Kluyveromyces lactis: one gene and its partner. The protein of the gene in region 1 interacts with the protein of each later gene in a pairwise test. Links are inferred from orthologs where the notes say so. Each region holds a gene or a part of one and is shown in the gene's direction. Other genes may lie near its edges. The genes, in order: RLI1 and HCR1.

The links.
Region 2: the proteins of RLI1 (region 1) and HCR1 interact in binary tests that used the Saccharomyces cerevisiae proteins (3 or more experiments, as listed by UniProt). The link is inferred for Kluyveromyces lactis from reciprocal best matches to the Saccharomyces cerevisiae genes RLI1 and HCR1.

What each region holds. Positions count from the first base shown.
Region 1 is NC_006039.1:1,543,859-1,547,850, reverse strand, and holds RLI1 (Fe-S cluster-binding ribosome biosynthesis protein), read left to right. Parts: upstream 1-1,623; coding exon 1,624-3,447; downstream 3,448-3,992. Other genes in the region: mannose-ethanolamine phosphotransferase GPI13, read right to left, coding at 3,867-3,992. UniProt on the Saccharomyces cerevisiae protein: Component of the multifactor complex (MFC) involved in translation initiation. Required for the binding of MFC to the 40S ribosome. Required for the processing and nuclear export of the 60S and 40S ribosomal subunits.
Region 2 is NC_006041.1:1,750,025-1,753,079, forward strand, and holds HCR1 (translation initiation factor eIF3 core subunit j), read left to right. Parts: upstream 1-1,446; coding exon 1,447-2,280; downstream 2,281-3,055. Other genes in the region: PAR32 (Par32p), read right to left, coding at 286-753; DLD1 (D-lactate dehydrogenase), read left to right, coding at 2,843-3,055. UniProt on the Saccharomyces cerevisiae protein: Component of the eukaryotic translation initiation factor 3 (eIF-3) complex, which is involved in protein synthesis of a specialized repertoire of mRNAs and, together with other initiation factors, stimulates binding of mRNA and methionyl-tRNAi to the 40S ribosome.

The sequences.
Region 1 (3,992 bases):
TATTAATACAAAACACAACTTTAACACTCTGTGACAATAGATTCGTTCACCTCCACTGCTTTAGAATACCTATCGAATCCTTAAATGCAGATATTCTCACGTTTAAATCGTGTGCTCTGTTGAATGGGTCTTTTCTTTACAGGTTTAGATTGGAAAAAGAGTTCAAAACAAGTTTTGACTACGGGAAAGATACAGACGATATAGGACTAAAAAAATTTTATAAAACTAGGGTGAGAAAGAGGGTAACTAGGAAGTAATGTATCACATTACCGTTGACAGGTGACAACCAAGACGGGGATTACATTACTATCCATCTCAATCGATGGGGCAAGGTAGCAAGAAGTAGAAGATGATCGGCACATATGTCAGTGGAGACAGACTTGGCAAACGCTGAATAAACACGTACATGGCGTGTCTACTCGGTTTGTTCAGACCGAAGGAAAGAATAAGGTTGGATAATGAACGGTCAAACGGTGGTCAATTGAGGAGGTTTCCAGTTGATAAAACAGCAGTTTCAATTTCAACAGAAAAAAATACAGTACAGTATGAATTCCGTGAATATTTCAAATGCTGGCGATTTCAAAAAGTCGACAATAGAGAGCATATCCCGTACTAATCGAGTACGGGCCCCTTTCATCGTATCAGTAACCAAACGTTTACACACTTGGTGAGCAATTCCATATGAATGATGCACCTCAAAAAGGGAGGAACAAACTCAAGCACTTATATCGCGTTGCCCATTGAAAAATGGGCAACGCGAGCCCACACCGGAGAGACACCCCTGAATCAACCACAATGACATAACTCCAGGGAAATTCCCACCATAGTGGCACTTTCCCGCCCAAATCTACCCTTGCTTCTTCGACATGATTTAACCGCCCAAGTTCCGGAAAAATGATTCCCCGAAAAGTGATATCCAAAGAAGAGAAAACAAGATCTCAAGCCGGCTTTCTTTATATATTCATATCACATCACTCTAAACGATAATTAACTAATCCTTTCATCACCAAAAAAAATTTTTTTTTTTTTTTTCACTGAAAAATTTCACAAAGCTCATCTCATCGAGAAAACGAGAATGGAACAATAACAATTTCCAAGCTTTATCTGTATGAAAACAATGGTAAAGGTTTTAAAATATAAAGTTATTTCACTTGTTTTAGTTTGCTTTAATTCAGTTGTACTTATAATTTGATTACTTGTATCTCAATAAGTAATAGGTTCTGATTCTTTAGTAGTGGTATTCGTTTTTTTAAAGAGTTTTTTTTTGTTTTAGAAGCACAGACTAGAGAATACGGTTTCAAGGCTGGTGAGAAGAGTTTGATATAAGACTACTCTTAAAACTATTTATTTCGGATACAGAAGGATATTATTAATCTGATTTTAATCCATCCTAATTTATATTTTAATCTGTCCTAATCTATCCTAGGTCAATTGCAAAGCAAGGAATCAGGAAGGTTTATAAACTACAGCGTCTCCCACTAGCAAGGGCATAAACAATATACATTTACGGAATCTTTACGCTCCAACTCCCAACATTTTTATTGATAGAGAACGGATACTGGGAAGTACCTGAATTTTAATTCAATCATAGAAACACAAAACAAACTCATAGTACCAAAAAAAATGTCATCGAAAAATACTCGTATCGCTATTGTCAGCGAGGATAAGTGTAAGCCAAAGAAATGTCGTCAGGAATGTAAGAGATCTTGTCCCGTGGTTAAGACTGGTAAGTTATGTATAGAAGTGATGCCTACTTCCAAGATTGCGTTTATCTCTGAAAATTTGTGTATCGGTTGTGGTATTTGTGTTAAAAAGTGTCCATTTGATGCTATTCAAATCATCAATTTGCCAACGAATTTAGATTCTCAAGTGACACATCGTTATTCGGCAAACTCTTTCAAGTTGCATCGTTTGCCCACTCCAAGACCGGGTCAGGTTTTGGGTCTTGTCGGTACCAACGGTATTGGTAAGTCTACTGCATTGAAGATCTTGGCAGGTAAGCAAAAGCCTAACCTTGGTCGTTTCGAAGATCCTCCAGAATGGCAAGAGATCATTAAATATTTCCGTGGTTCTGAATTGCAGAACTATTTCACTAAGATGTTGGAAGATGATATCAAAGCTATCATCAAGCCACAATATGTGGATAACATTCCTCGTGCCATTAAGGGCCCCGTCCAAAAAGTTGGCGAGTTGTTGAAATTGAGATTGGAGAAATCAAAAGATGATGCTAAGAGGTATATCGATATCTTACAGTTAAAGAATGTTTTGAACAGAGAAGTCTCTGCCCTTTCAGGTGGTGAATTGCAAAGATTTGCTATCGGTATGTCTTGTGTTCAGGAAGCAGATGTTTATATGTTCGATGAACCTTCTTCTTATTTGGATGTTAAGCAACGTTTGAACGCTGCTTTAATTATCAGATCTCTATTGAATCCAACCACATACGTTATCTGTGTGGAGCACGATTTATCGGTGCTAGATTATTTGTCGGATTTTGTTTGTATTATTTATGGTGTGCCTTCTGTTTATGGTGTTGTTACTTTACCATCTTCTGTCCGTGAAGGTATTAATATATTCTTAGATGGTCACATTCCGTCTGAAAATTTGCGTTTCAGAACTGAAGCGCTACAATTCCGTATGGCTGATGCTGGTGATGAATTGGAAGCCGATGCAAGCCGTGCATTCACTTACCCAGATATGAAACGTACACAAGGTGATTTCTCTCTAACCGTTGAAGCAGGTGAATTCTCCGATTCTCAAATCTTGGTTATGATGGGTGAAAACGGTACTGGTAAGACAACATTAATTAAACTTCTTGCAGGTGCTATTCCTGCTGATGATGGTCAAGATATTCCTAAGTTGAACGTTTCAATGAAGCCCCAGAAGATTGCTCCAAAGTTCACTGGTACTGTGCGTCAATTGTTCTTTAAGAGAATTAGAGCACAATTCTTGAACCCACAGTTCCAAACTGATGTCGTTAAGCCTTTGAAAATCGATGATATCATTGATCAAGAAGTTCAGCATTTGTCTGGTGGTGAATTACAGAGAGTGGCTATTGTGCTTTCTTTGGGTATGAATGCTGACATTTACTTGATTGATGAACCATCTGCCTACTTAGATTCTGAACAACGTATCATTTGTTCTAAAGTTATCAGACGTTTCATCTTGCATAATAAGAAAACTGCATTCATCGTCGAGCACGATTTTATCATGGCTACATATTTGGCCGATAAAGTCATCGTGTTCGATGGTATCCCATCTAAGCAAGCTTTCGCTAGAGCTCCAGAAAGTTTGTTGACTGGTTGTAACAAATTCTTAAAGAACTTGAACGTTACCTTCAGAAGAGATCCAACCTCTTTCAGACCAAGAATCAATAAATTAGACTCCCAAATGGATAAAGAACAAAAGTCATCTGGTAACTATTTCTTCTTAGACCACAATGGTGTTTAATCGCCTTACTAATGGCGATCGGGTATCCATTCTAATGTGTCTTTTTTGCTTATTTTTTTGTCATTATTCATCATTCATCCTATCTAATTCTCATCATTTCTTATCTGTTGGCTGGTTTTTAAGGTTATATTACAAATCATGAATCAATTCCAATTGATTGGAACGGCATAGTCCTCGGCAATACCATTTTTGTGCATAAATGTTACTGTACAATAATTAATACATCTGTATAATATCTATAAATTATTTATTCTCCCAATTATCAACCAAAAATTTCGCGAGATATTGAATGCAAATCAAATAAAACAGGCCTCTTCAAAACGACACATACGAATCGTCCGTGTCCATCTCGCATAAATAAATAAATAAATTTATTTATACATTAAGAGAGTTCCTACTATATTGGTTTCGAGTAAGGTTTATTTTGAAAACAATTGACTTATCTGCCTGATTAGTCTAGAACTTGCAAAACCAATAGTAATAAATGTTACAACGAGTTGACTTACTATCAAACATAATGATGCAAATAGGAATCGAGGACAGAA
Region 2 (3,055 bases), on another chromosome or scaffold:
ATAAAAATCAATATTATGAATTACTTATATATTAAAAATGCCTTATTAAATAGAGGGAAGAAAGGCTATGCAGTATTATATGTACAATTACATCTGTTTCAAGTTGTCAGGGTCTGTGTCCCAATGTTCATGAAGACAGAAGAAGTATCTTTTGATTACTTTTTAAAGTTCATTTCGTTACGTTAATAAAAAAGGAGAAGGGAAGAAGAAGGAGGACTATATAGTCTCATTATGCAAGTGTGAGGGATGAAAAGATAGGAAGGAGAAGAGCTGATCGGTGGCGATTCACTTGAAAAGACTCTTCAATTTGGAGAAGAACCCACTCTTTGATGATTTTTCGTCCACGTGACTCGATCCGTTGTCTCCAGTGGAGGAATTCTTAGAGCCCTTCTCATCCCTTTTCTTTCTTGACGATTTAGGGCTTAGTATGTTCCCAGCACCACCTCTACCGATCGATATGGTCTTTGGAGGTTCCGAGAAGCGTCTCGACTTGATCTTTTTGATGGTTCCTGTATTGTTTGAAGAAGTCACGTCTATCACGTCGTCATCGTCAACATCCTGTGCGGTGCGTGTCATAACCGGGTCCACATTCCTCCTCATATTACCAGCACCACCGCGACCCGTAGAGTAAATTGGCGATAGTATATTGGGGGTCTGGGAACCCTGTGTCACAACCTTCGGTGAAGGTTTCTCGTTCGACGTTATCATGTTTCCTGCGCCTCCTCTTCCAGTACTTACTCTATATTCACCCATGCCGATATATTGAATAATCTCCCAAAGATACTTTCTTTATTATTGCGTTGCCAAACAACTATTCCAGATTAGGTCCACTTGTCACGAGCCTATATCACAATGGTTAGATTGGACCAACAACTATTAAATGGATGCACATTTTATGTTTTCAATACTGACATGTATATATAAAAAAGGTTCGGATCGAGAGTTGATCATTAATTGTGTGTTGGTCAAGGAATCGATGATAAGGGACCGAAGGTCGTATGGGATGATGAGGAGCCTGGTGCATGAGTGACGCCAGAAAAAGTAACTATTTAATTTTGAGAAATAGGTATCAAAAATAAATTAATTTTGGAGCGTCATAATGGGCAGAACAGGATATGAATACGTCAATTGGGTACCATTAAAAGGGAAGTGATCATTAACATGTTATATGGTGCCAGTGGAACTCTGGATAGACAAAAAATCGTGGTCTATAGCAGGGTATTTTCGTTCTACATGCAATATGATGGTTTGACGTAGCAGTCTTTGCGGCAGAAGGGAGGGACGGAGGAAGGAAGACCACTGCCCCGGGTAACAGCTCCCAAAAGACCCAAAAATCGAAATTTAATGCCACCCATAAGCATCTTGACAAGAATTTGTAACGAGGACAATCAATAAACACTTGCTTTCAGCAGCTCTACCCTAACCGAGATCAATTATCAATCAACAATGTCCTGGGACGACGAAGATTTTGCAGTGCCAAGTGGCTCCAAAGAGAAGCCAGTGTTGAATTCATGGGATGATGAGTTCGCTGAAAACGACGATGAGCCGGTACTAGAGTCCTGGGAGGACGAGGAGACTGCTAAACCTAAGCCTAAGGCAGCAGCAGCAGCTGCAGCCAAGGCTCCAAAGAAAGCCTCTCCATCACCAGCTGCTACACCAGCTGCTACAAAGAACACCATGCTCGATATCGATACTCTTGACGACAAGACCCGTAAAGAACTATTGAGAAAGGCTGAACTGGAATCTGATTTGAACAACGCTGCAGACCTTTTCGGCGGTCTTGGCGTCGCAGAAGAACATCCAAGAGCCCGCGCCGAACGTGAAAGAGAACAGCTTGCAGCTGTCGCCCAACCTGCTGCGTTGACCAAGGATACCCCAATCCAATCGCACCCATTGTTCTCGGATTTGGAAACCAAAAAAGATTACCAAGAATTAAGGAAAGCGTTGGCTACCGCAATCACCTCGACAAGCAACAAATCCTTGTTGAACTACTCTGGTGGACTAGCCATCGACTTGATCAGAGACATTTCCAAACCAATGACCGTCGAAAACATCAGACAAACCATTGCGACATTGAACGTATTGATGAAGGATAAAGAAAGAGAAGAAAGACAAGCTCGTTTGGCCAAAGTCAAGGGAGGCACCGCCACAGGCGGTGCCGGTAAGAAGAAGGCCAAGGCTACTAGGGCTAACCTCGGCGGTGCCTTCAAGAAGGATAACGATTTCGACCTAGGTGGTAACGATAACTTTGACGATTTCGGAGAAGACGATTTCATGTAATAGAAAAAAAAAACAGATCTCATCACATATCATCATCACATATCATATATAGAACGTAAACAATTGAACTGTTAATATTGCCCAAGTCTTGTTCGCTAGCCCGGTCGCTCTTTCTCTCTCTCATCTACCGAATCTGAGAGCGCTCTTGACTCTCCACTGGCCCAGTGCTGCCTCAAACCAGTACAACAAGATCCGATCCACGCTACATCCCACGCTACGAAGTGAAAAATCATCATGGAAATCCGGCAACAAAGAAAAGCCAGAGAAGACCAGAGGAGAGCAAGCCGGATATGTATCAAAACAAGGGTGGATGAACCAAGTCGTGGAGTCGACGGTATATGATTGTTCCTATTCCGCGTTTGAACTGTTTTTTTTTTTCTCAGCTATGAACTTGTACTTATATATATATATATATATATATGTATAATCGAACGCCGTCTGTATTCCGCATATCAATATACTATATAATAAGGTAACAACTTGGTAGAGAAACTTGGTAACTTAGCAGCTGTTTTGTGTACTTGTTATCGCAAAGTGCAAGAAAGACCAGAAACGCAACTCAATGTTCAGGTTTGTTGGAAGATCCGGTTTTGCTTTGCGTGGTTCGCTGCAACTACGTAAGGACGTTCTGCGTTCTAGGACCACTGCCGTTGCAAAAAGACATTATTCGTCTTCTAACGGTAATAACGGCGGTGGATTTTCGTCCGCCATTTTAAGCGTTCTTGGTGGTTCTTTAATTGGTGGTGGGTTTGTTGCATATGCTCTAGGCTCTCAG